3 linked regions of the Callithrix jacchus genome follow. The protein of the gene in region 1 purifies or fractionates together with the protein of each later gene. This does not show direct contact. Links are inferred from orthologs where the notes say so. Each region holds a gene or a part of one and is shown in the gene's direction. Other genes may lie near its edges.

Region 1 (4,091 bases):
ATCACAGGCGTGATCCACCGCGCCCAGCTTCGTTTTGAGACAGGCTTTCACTCTGTCGCCCAGGTTGGAGTACAATGGCATGATCTGTGCTCACTGCAGCCTCCGCCTCCCGGGTTCGAGCTATCCTCCCACCTCATACTCCCTAGTTTTTGGCATTACAAGCGCATGCCACCATGCCTGGCTAATTAGTATTTTTGTAGAGATGGGGTTTCACTATGTTGGTCAGGCTGGTCTCGAACTCGTGACCTAGGGAACCACCCTCCTTGGCTTCGCAAAGTGCTGGGATTATAGGCGTGAGCCACTGCACCAGCCCAATTTCCCTCTTTAACGGTATCTGAGCTAGGATCCACGTTTCGTAGCTCCCCAATAATCTGCCTTGTACAGCAGACACTAAGCACCTTAATGCTTATTATGAAACCTCATTCTTCAGAAATATAGCACTTTCCTTAAACCTCCTTCCTGTTCAAAATGCAGTGCACTGGAGTATTTCTCCCCTACTCCACCATTAAGTAGCCTCTTGGTGAGCAGGGCTGTGTTGGGTCTCTCGGTTACTATGCCCTACTACACCCTAGTAGTGTGTTGTAGGAAGCGACGGGGAATCCCTTCTTCCCCAAATAATGTGCATGGAGACACAAAGTGTCTTAGCCTCTCCATTCCAGAAACCTAGACTCTCCCCTCAAATATCCTTCGTGGCTCATCTACAGTACTAAGGTCTCAAGACAGGGGCAAAAGCCAGCCCCGAATGGCAAACGCTCCTCCTCCGCCAAGAACCTCGAATGTCCGCTGTCCCTGGACAGAGCCTCCAACCTTCAGAAAAATGGTGAAGTGAGCCCTTTTCCACAGCACAGGCTTTTCACGTTTTTGTGGTGGAATGTTTCCTGCGTGAGCTGATTTACTCCCTCAAGAGTAACCAACGCTCCATTTCAATTCTCCACGATCCCGACTCCGCGTCCCTCCGCCTCGGCCTTTCCTCCCGCTGCCAACGCAGCGGTTTCTCAGAGAAATCGCCCAAAGAGCGTGGCCGGGCGGTTGGGCGGCCAACGGTTTTCTAACGCGAGAGGACACCGCGGGAGGAGAGGCGGGAACGCGTAAGGACTAGCGGGGGCCGGGGTGGGGGTAGGGTGGCGGACGAAGGGCGGGGCCGGCGCCAGGAAGGATCGCGAAGGAGCTGGGAGGCCCCGCCCTTTCCGTAGATATCTCTAGAAAGCCGCGCCGGAGCCCGAAAACAAGGACTGCGCACGCGCGGTGGCAAGGCCCGGGCATTTTGCTGCGTCACCAGCCGCCGCCCGGCCTCACCACCCCTCGTTCGCACGCACGCACGTTCATTCTCCGTCCTCGCGCCCGTTTTCCTACACTTTCCTCTTCTCCCCGACCGGAGGAGCCGCTCTTTCCGCGCGGTGCATTCTGGGGAGCTAGGTCGAGCCCGCCGCTGTCGCCGTCGCCTGAGGGAAGCGAGAAGAGGCCGCGACCGGGGAGAAAACGCGGAGTCGCCAGCGGAGAGAAGTCGACTCCTTAGCAGCAGCCGCCGCCAGAGAGGCCCGCCCACCCGTTCGCCCGTCCCCCTGCCCCGTTCACAATGTGAGTGCGACACCCCGCCGAGGGAAGGTCGCCCGGAGTGAGGCCAAGGCCGCGTCGGGGGCTCCGGGAATGCGGCCGCGGCCCTCCCTCCACTTTCGGCCCCCCCAGTCTTTCTCGCATCGGTGGTGGCAGTTGTGCCTGCCTGGGGGCGGGAGATCTAGTATCCTTGTTCCGGTTACCGTTGGCGAGTGGAGGACATTTTCCTCCAGATCTCCGCTTCCCCGTGCCGGAAATGCTACTTTTCCCCCTTTGGCCGTCTGGCCGACTCGCTTTCTGTAACTTCACCCTAGGCCTTGAGCTCCTGGTAGCTGCTCGCCATGCGGCGCCCTGAAGCGTGAACCCCCGCGGGTCGCTTCTCGGCCGCCTGGGCGCTCCAGTTCTGCTCCGTGGTCCCGGGGCCAGGCCCTGGGCCGAGCGCACCTGTAGTGGGTGTCGCCAGGTACCTGGCGGAGCTCCTGGGAGAGCCCCACGCGGACCTCGCCGTGAGCTGCATGGTACTGCTAGGTAACTGGAGGGAAGCCATGCCCACGCCGCAACTTACTTCCCTCTCCTGTGTCTGGGTTTCTTGAGTGTGGGTACTTCTAGGCCGCCTCCTAACTCCCAGTCTGTTCAAAACACGGGAGGTTGCCGGAGCTCAGCCGCTTCCCTGGCAGTGAGGAGTTACCGTTGAGCAGGTAGTTGGGCACGTGTCGACTTTGGAAGAATACCTACGGACATTTTCAGTGTTCCATGTTAAACTTTAGGTGAGGTTTCACTATCCTGCCTCAGTGTAGGATGAAGTAGATATGTAATTAACTTACTGTTGTCCTAAAAAGCTTAAATTTGATGGTGTGTAGGTGAATACAAGTTCTATAGCAATCTTCGTTTTATGGTAAAGGAAAGCCTTAATTGATTTTAACCGAATAAGAATTCATGGCACTGCCACATCCAGTGAGGGCTCCTGGTTTTACAGGGTTTGGTTTTGTTTTTTTTTTTTGACGGGACGTTATTTTTTAAGTTATTAGCTAAGTCTTAAAAGATACTGAGAACAATTGAAGGGGAGCGTTCCCCCGCCCACACTCCATTTAGGAGAGATGAGGGGAGTAACTTTATTCCTGCGGAAAAGTAACAAACATTCAAGGGTTTACTTAATTCAAGCCATGATACTGACAGTGAATATATTGGCTAAAAGTCTAAAGGGATGAGTGAGGGGTACACTGAAGCCAGTTTGTCGCTGAGAACAAGCTTCTAGAGCACAGCGTGTATTACTGTAAGGGCGTAAATTAGAATTTTGGAGGAGCCCCCTCCCTGAAAGTGGTACGTAAACGGGGTTTTTACAAATTCGAATCTATGTAAAGTAGTTTTTGCTTTTCCTTCTAGGTAATGTAAAAGGGACTTCAGTCTTAACCTTTTATACTCTGAAAACCTGTAAGGGGAAAATTGTCAGATGAGGTGTTAGCAACTTTTAATACAGCTGAACGTATCTTTTCGCGAAAAATACGTTTAAAATTGGCTTGAGGTAGGAGCACTTTCTGGAGGCCACGTAAGATATTTAAATAGGTAAGAAATGGCTAAGTTAAGTAGATTTTAAAACTTGAAAGAAAAGTCAATGTAAGTCAGGGTGCAGTGGCTCACACCTGTCCTGCACTTTGGGAGGGTCAGGCGGTGGGATCAGGAGTTCGAGACCAGCCTCGTCAATACTGTGAAACCCCGTCTCTACTAAAAATACAAAAACTAGTCGGGCATGGTGGTGCTCACCTGTAATCCCGGCTGGTCTGGCGGCTCAGGCAGGAGAATCGCCTTAACTCTGGAGGTGGAGGTTGCAGTGAGCCAAGATTATTGAGCCATTGCACTCCATCCTGGACGATAGAGGGAGACTCCGTCTCAAAATGTAGCAGTAGAGAGGCTATTCCAAAAAGTAGCCTCTCTGGTTAAAAAAAAAAAAAAAAAGCTACTTTCAAAACAAGTGATCCGATGCCACATGCAGGGTGTTGAGGGAAAAGATGAATGTTTTGAAAGAGACCAGCTAATTTCATCCTTTTAAAAATATTCAGTATGTGTCATTTGGTATATTCTTCAGGGACTCTTACCAAGTTAAAGATTTAAGTGAAATTACAAAATGAATGTTGTAAGTCGGTTGTTTGAGGTGGAAGAATCCTTTACTGGGTCGTCATCCAGTCCTAGGAAGAATCTGGCTGATGCGGGTTTATTTATTTATTTATTTATTTTGAGTCAGGGTCTTTCTCTATCGCCCAGCCTAGAGTGCAGTGGCGTGATCTCAGCTCACAGCAACCTCCACTTCACCTCCCGAGCTCAAGCAATCCTCCTTGCCTCAGTCTCCTGAGTAGCTAGGACTGCAGGCAAGCACCACCATGCCTGGCTAATAAAACCTTTTTTTTTTCTTTAAAGATCTGGAGAGAGATTATGCTGGGTGCATTAAGGGCTTGGGAGAGTGTTTTCTCAGTTGATTTACTCATTTGCTCTTTAGCGATTTCCTAGTTACATTTCTTTACATCCTAAGTTATGAAAGTTTG
Region 2 (3,581 bases), about 47 Mb from region 1:
AGTGCTGGAAACCTACCCACAAGCCCTAGAAGCTGGGTTGGTTGCTCTGATTTATGTTTTCTTGTCGGCCAGGTGCAGTGGCTCATACCTGCATTCCCAATACTTTGCGGGGACAAAGTGGGAGGATTACTTGAACCCAGTAGGTAGAGACCTTGGTGACTTAACGATGGCACCACTGCACTCCAGCCTGAGTGACAAAATGACACCCTGTCTCAAAAGAAAAAAAGAGCTAGATGCTTTGTGTGTGTATTGAAATAGATAATACATTTACATAGTTAAATTCAAACTGTACCAAAGAATGCACAGTAAGAAGTCTGCCTCCCCAGCCAGAAGCCCTTCTGGTTCTTGTATGGTTCCAATGTATTGCTTAATACCCAGGCAAATATTCATGTTGCTTTCTCCCTTTCCCCTAACAAGAGGCAACATGCTCTACCTGTGATTTGGCAGGCTGTGCTTTTTTCTCACAATAATATCTGGAAGCACCAGGCACGGTGGCTCACGCCTGTAATCCCAGCACTTTGGGAGGCTGAGGTTAGGAGTTTGAGACTAGCCTGACCAATATAGTGAAACCCCGTCTTGAAAAAATAAAAATAAAAAATATATATATCTGGAAGCTTATTTACATCAGTATTTAAAGAGCTTTCACATTCTTAGGCTTAAGTAGTATTCCATTGTATGGATATGGCATATCTTATTTAATCAGTGCCCTTTTAGTCTTCCAGTGTTTTTTTTTTTTTTTTTTGAAGATGGAGTTTTGTTCTTGTTACCCAGGCTGGAGTGCAATGGCGCGATCTCGGCTCACTGCAATCTCCGCCTCCTGGGTTCAGGCAATTCTCCTGCCTCAGCCTCCCGATTAACTGGGATTACAGGCACACGCCACCATGCCCAGCTAATTTTTTATATTTTAGTAGAGATGGGGTTTCACCATGTTGACCAGATAGATGGTCTTGATCTCTTGACCTCTTGATCCACCCGCCTCAGCCTCCCAAAGTGCTGGGATTACAGGCTTGAGCCACCGCGCCCGGCCCTTTTTTTTTTTTTTTCTAAGACAGAGTTTTGCTCCGTCACCCAGGTGGAAGTGCAGTGACGCGATCTCAGCTCACTACAGATTCTGCCTCCTGAGTTCAAGCAATTCTCTGCCACAGCCTCGTGAGTAACTGGGATTACAGGCACGCCACCACACCCAGTGAATTTTGTATTTTTAGTAGAGAAGAGGTTTCACTATGTAGATAAGGCTGGTCTCGAACTCCTGACTTTAGTGATCTGCCTGGCCCTGCCTCCCAAAGTAGTGGGACTACAGGTGTGAACCGCCATGCCTGGGCAGTCTTTTTGTTTGTTTGAAACACAGTCTCCCTCTCTCGCCAGGCTGGAGTGCAGTGGTGGGATCCCAGCTCACGGCAACTTCCGTTTTCCGGTTTCAGGCAATTCTCCTGCCTCAGCCTCCCGAGTAGCTGGGACTACAGGCACACACCACAACACCTGTCTAATTTTTTTTGTATTTTTAGTAGACGCATATTTCACCATGTTGGCCAGGATGGTCTCGACCTTTTGACCTTGTGATCCGCCCACCCTGGCCTCGCAAAGTGCTGGGATTACAGGCGTAAACCATTGCACCCAGCCACCCAGACAGTCTTAAAGAGGGTTCTAAACAAGCACTGTACAGTAGAAACACAGTATTAACCACACATAATTGAAAATTTTCTGGTAACCACGTTAAAAAGGTGAAAAACAGATGGAATTAAGTTTTAGTTGCATTTATATATTTTTCAGACCATCTTCAAAATCCAATATATATTTTTCACTAAAAACACATGAGTTTGAACTAGCCACTTACAGTAGTGGCTACCACATGGGACAGTGCTGTTCTAAACAGCACTGTAGTGAATGACCTTGTGAGTTCATAATTTGTACATATACAAGTGTTTTGTGTTTTTTTGAGACAGTGTCTCTCACCCTGTCACCCAGGCTGGAGTGCAGTGGTACACTCAGCTCACTGCAACCTCTGCCTCCCTGGCTCAAGTGATCCTCTTGCCTCAGCCTCCCAAGTAGCTGGGACTACAGGTGCACACCACCATGCCCAGCTAATTTTTATAATTTTTGTCAAGATGAGGTTTCACCATGTTGTCCAGGCTGGTCTCAAACTTCTGTGCTCAAGTAGTCTGTCCACCTCACCCTCCCCAAGTGCTGGGATTACAGGTGCAAGCCACCACGCCTGGCTTATACAGGTATATCTTTAGGGCAGATGCAGGAGAATTGGTGTGTCTGTAATTCTGCTAGAAATTAAGTGTGTTATTTTTTCACTTGGGAAGTGAGGCTCTTTGCTGTTCCTCTTCCTTCCAGGCCAAGGCAGAGGCTTCCTCAGGAGACCGTCCCACTGACACAGACATGAAGGAGGAGCAGAAGAGCAACATGGCAGGGAGCCAGTCTCAGGTGGAGACAGAAGCATAGCCCTCCTCCACCAGCTCTACTCCTGCGGCTGCCTGCCTCCCACAACCCCAGTCTCCCCACTCCACCCTGTTAGTTTTGTAAAAACTGAAGAATTTTGAGTGAATTAGACCTTTATTTTTCTATCTGGTTGGATGGTGGCTTTAGCGGGGAGGGGGGAAAGAAGAGTCTGGGGGATTGAGGTGGGGAATCATTTCAGGAGGTGTCACCCCCTCTTCCCTTCCCCCATTGCACATGAATGTATGTCCATCCATACATATTCATCAGAATGTTAATTTATTTTGCTCCCTCTGTTAGGTCCATTTTCCAAGGGTAGAAGAAGCAAGTGGTAGGGATGGGGTCTGATATGAACCCAGGGTGGAAAGGGAGACTCCTGGGCAGCCGTTTTCCTCATCCTTTCCCTCTCCCAGTCCATTTCCAAATGTGGCCTCCATGTGGGTGCTAGGGACATGGGAAAAACCACTGCTGTGCCCATTTCTTCTCTCTGTTCCCTTCCTCACCCTGACGGTGTGGCTGATGTCTTCTGGTGTCATGGTGACCACCCCCGTCCCCCATTCTGGTGTTTCCCCTTGTCAATCACCCCTCTCAGCCAGGTTGTATCCTGAAATCCCCTCAGCCTCTTCTCTGCACGTTGCTGAAGGTCCAGGCTTGCCTCAAGTTCCGTGCTTGAGCAATAAAGTGGAAACAATAAAACCTGGGTGTCAGGCAACCCTTTCTGTTCAGCCTTGGAGGGGTGGGTACATAATGGGTAGTGGCAAAATTAAGGGGTCACCCACTTGATCCCAGTTCAGCTTAAATAAATGCAGTATCTCATATAATGATGCCATAGTGGGCAGGAAGCAGACCTACCATGCAGGGCTTCCCGAGCACCGCACAGGCTGCAGACCTACGACGCAGGGCTTCCCGAGCACCGCACAGGCTGCAGTGAGACTTAGGCCTACACCCTCACCCTAGGTTCCCAGCACTCCCCTCCAGCAACCTGGTAGTTTTTAGTGCGTCTGGTTTTCCCTGCCACTTAGGAAGAGGAAAGTCTAAACATCTAGAAGACTGGGTCACATGCATGTTCGTTTTGAAGTTAGCATTGGTCTTCTGCCTACCTCTGATGTGGCAGAAGTATCTGTGCATTTTGGTTTCTT
Region 3 (3,581 bases), on another chromosome or scaffold:
GTATTGACACCTTTAAAACTGAAATGAACTATGGAACATCTCTGTTCTCAATATCTTAAAGACCAAAAGATTAAGAGTGAGGTGCTCCCAGGCACAGTGGTTCACGCCTCTAATCTCAGCACTTTGGCAGGCCAAGGCGGGTGGATCACGAAGTCAGGAGTTCAAGACCAGCCTGACCAACATGGTGAAACCCTGTCTCTACTAAGTAAAGTACAAAGATTAGCTGGGCATGATGGCATGCACCTGTAATCCCAGCTACTCAGGAGGCTGAGACAGGAGAATCGCTTGAACCCAGGAGGCAGAGGTTGCAGTGAGCCGAGCAATGAACCGAGATCACACCACTGCACTCCAACCTGGGCTCTCCATAAAAAAAAAAAAAAAAAATGAAGTACTTTGAGGATTCACACCTTTCAGTGGTTGCCAGGAGAATTGTGATACCTGGAATATGAGTTGTTTCAGGGTCTTTGCCTTCATACATTTCCCCCGCCTTCATTCATTTCCCCCGCCTTCATTAAAAAGATACCAGGTCTGTCTTGAACTATTTAATAGTTCTGCAAGGTGGTTTTAGAAATGTGCTTTTATTTTAAAACAACTACTCGTTCGATGCATTTGTTTATCAGGTTTTCTAGAGCCGGATTCCTTGGGCATCACCTTCCAGGAAGCCAGGTGGGCCTTGGTGTAGAGCAGAGGTGGCTCTCCCCAAGGTCAGGACCAGGAAGGTGCTACATGTTTGTCCCAGGCACCAGGCCAACCACACACTTTGCTTAGGCCTTTAGCAACCGGAGGTGGGGGAGTGCACTTGGCCATGGCCAGCCTGGGGCAGCTCAACCTCATCAGGCTTCGAAACCCCTTTCCCTTTCTGTATTCTCGGAGCAAGCAGGAGAGGGGGCTGTGTCTCTGAAGGGTCAGGGAGGTGACATTGGCCACCAGAGCAATGACACACATGGCTGTGAGTGCCCATAGGAGCATGAGCCCCAGTTTCTGGGCAGTTTTAATTGGGGGAAAAAAATCCCTTTGGGCTGAAATCATATCGGCATTGTGATTTCAAAGGCGGCATTTTCAGAGATCAAGCACTTTTTCCCTGTAGTTTAGAAATTTCTGTTCTCAGAACTTTGACCTTGATATAATCAGAAAGCTCAAAGCACCTCGCATAGCGAATCTCTCTCTCCTTCTCGCTGTCCCTGAAAAGCAGACAGTGAGCAGCAGGAGCAGTAATGTCCCAATTTTCCAGATGAGGAAATTGAGGTGCAGAGAAACTCAGATGGGTGTCTCCAGGTCTCTCGGGGGATCACACACCCTTCCCTCCTTAGGAAGCTGGCATTTCTCAACATCTGAAAAAAACATATGAGAAATAATCCACTAATACAAAAAGCTGCTTGAAAACGACAATGCCTCAGTCTTTGACAGTGTGTAGTGGAGTAGCAATTAGCTGTGGGTATTGGGTTCGGAGCGCCGCATTCTATTAGGAAGGAATATTTGTGGCATTTGTTGTTTTTGTTGTTGTGTGTTTTTTGGTTTTGGCTTAGATACTACATGAATTGTGAATTTCAGTTTTTAATATGGTGAAAGTCTTAGATGGTAGATAGGATTATCAATGCATGCAGAACAACTTCTTAGAATAGGATAGCCAACTAGCAGATTTTTTAACAATGTCTTGTAAAGATTCAGTTCCTTTGACTTAGCAAGTAAGTAGTCAAAGACTAAACAGCCTCCCCGTCTCATTTTAAAAACTGGGTTTTCTCTTCCGATTGACAGTGTTGCATTGATGAATCATAGCTGTTGCCCCAATGTCATTGTGACTTACAAAGGGACCCTGGCAGAAGTCAGAGCTGTACAGGAAATCAGCCCAGGAGAGGAGGTGAGTTCATGGCCATGGGTGGCCGCAGCAGGGGGCTGGAGACTGCTCTTTTAAAAGGCAATATGGACAGATCCATGCATTTGAAGTATGAGCTGTGAATGCTTCCAGCAGTTCAGCCAAGTCCGTCCTCAGGCTCCCCCTGAGTCAGTGATCAGATTTGTGACCTGTAGCTTAGATTCCCACACTTTGGGGCTTCTGTTTCGTGTTTACCTTTTACATCAGTGGTTAAGAAAAACAAAAAATAATCAATTTGAGTTAAATTCCTCACAAAGCTTTATGGAGAGTTACAGAGAAAGAAGACTTTGACTATCAAAATGACCACAGTGAAACTTGATTTTCTTTAGAGTCTCTCTAACCCTGTTGCCAAACAATGGAGTTTGAGCCTTATTAATTTTTGGTGAATTCTTGCTTGTTGCCCACCATCCCCCCAAGGTCCGAAGTGAAAGAAAGCAAGTGACACAGCAGTAGCTAAAGAACTGGCCCTGCAAGTGACACAGCAGCATTTTGTGCTCTGTCAGTTCCACATGTGAACTTCAGGTCGTAGTTCCCTTTTTAGGAACGTGATTCAAATGCCCAGGTATATATGCAGTCATGTGCTCTGTCAGTTCCACATGTGAACTTCGGGTCGTAGTTCCCTTTTTAGGAACGTGATTCAAATGCCCAGGTATACATGCAGTCATAGGAGAAATCAAGGCAGTCTGTGAGGCACACTGGCTTCCCTCCTCAGCTTTGGGATGTGGAGAGAACCAGCCAGCTGTCCCGTCACCTGCTCAACGATTCCCTGTCCCCCTCCCATGTGTGATTCCTGACTACCTCATGGGACATCTCACCTGGGGGAGGAGGGCTGGCCTGCTGGATCGCTGTAGTATGCTCTGTTCTTAAGTCAGTCTCCAGCAAGACAGGATTTCTTGGGCACTTGTAATCACACACTTAGGTTAAATTTCAGTTTAGCAATTTGTAATGCTATTTTACGGTGCACATCTGGTATAAGTGTGAAGTGTGACTGTCAGTGTGCTGAGTGAGAAGTGCTTTGCTTTCTCTGGAAGGCGCTCACTCATCCACAGGGGTACTGGGAGCTGAGGCCCAAGGCGCAGGTTGGCCCTTCCACCCTCAGCTAAATCCATTGTCATGAGGGTGTGTCCCTTTCGGCTGGGGTGTCTTGAGTTTCTGAATGTCTTGTGGAGACTGCCCTGAAGGCTTTCTTGAAACAGATCGTTGCAACCAGCCAGAACGTAATCACCCGGCTCCAGCCCGCCTGTGGACTGACTGCAGAGATGAGCAGGTTGTCACCTAGGCTGGCTCAGTCTGACCGTGAGCAGTGGTACTGGAGTGGCCTTTGTCGCCATCTTCTGGAACCTTCCGTGTGTTGCACTGCGTGTCAGTTATTTCAGAGATAATGGGGCACTCTTGCCGTGTGAGGCAGGGCAGGGCTGGCTGCGGTTTCCTTTTGCCCTCATGTTCTCCCAGATCTCAAACACAGTGACTTCATTTTTGTGAAGTCAGTGCTTTGGGGGTTACTTACCCTTAAGAGGAGAAACTCCATTCTCCAGGGTTTCAGGGAGACCTGCAACATGTCCAGAACTGCCCTGTGGGCTGGGGAGAGCTTGGCTGCCCCTGCGGCACCCAGCCCCATGCGTGTCCTCCCCTGCCTGCTTGGCGGTGCCCGCGGTCACTGGCACGCTGGCAGCTTTGTGAGATCCATCTGTTCAGTCAGACATTTGCC

Evidence for each region. Proteins that work in one complex are often made in the same cells at the same time.
Region 2: the proteins of PTGES3 (region 1) and FKBP4 purify together in Homo sapiens (affinity purification with mass spectrometry; 3 studies listed by BioGRID and IntAct, with this or other methods). This does not show direct contact. The link is inferred for Callithrix jacchus from reciprocal best matches to the Homo sapiens genes PTGES3 and FKBP4.
Region 3: the proteins of PTGES3 (region 1) and SMYD2 purify together in Homo sapiens (affinity purification with mass spectrometry; 3 studies listed by BioGRID and IntAct, with this or other methods). This does not show direct contact. The link is inferred for Callithrix jacchus from reciprocal best matches to the Homo sapiens genes PTGES3 and SMYD2.

What each region holds. Positions count from the first base shown.
Region 1 is NC_133510.1:62,968,845-62,972,935, forward strand, and holds the start of PTGES3 (prostaglandin E synthase 3), read left to right. Parts: upstream 1-1,281; 5' UTR 1,282-1,576; coding exon of another isoform or gene 1,577-1,578; 5' UTR 1,579-2,307; coding exon 2,308-2,321; intron 2,322-4,091. UniProt on the Homo sapiens protein: Cytosolic prostaglandin synthase that catalyzes the oxidoreduction of prostaglandin endoperoxide H2 (PGH2) to prostaglandin E2 (PGE2).
Region 2 is NC_133510.1:16,117,043-16,120,623, forward strand, and holds the end of FKBP4 (peptidyl-prolyl cis-trans isomerase FKBP4), read left to right. Parts: intron 1-2,340; coding exon 2,341-2,448; 3' UTR 2,449-3,138; downstream 3,139-3,581. UniProt on the Homo sapiens protein: Immunophilin protein with PPIase and co-chaperone activities. Component of steroid receptors heterocomplexes through interaction with heat-shock protein 90 (HSP90).
Region 3 is NC_133520.1:14,836,999-14,840,579, reverse strand, and holds part of SMYD2 (N-lysine methyltransferase SMYD2), read left to right. Parts: intron 1-1,539; exon of another isoform or gene 1,540-1,755; coding exon 1,756-1,858; exon of another isoform or gene 1,859-3,581. UniProt on the Homo sapiens protein: Protein-lysine N-methyltransferase that methylates both histones and non-histone proteins, including p53/TP53 and RB1. Specifically trimethylates histone H3 'Lys-4' (H3K4me3) in vivo. The activity requires interaction with HSP90alpha.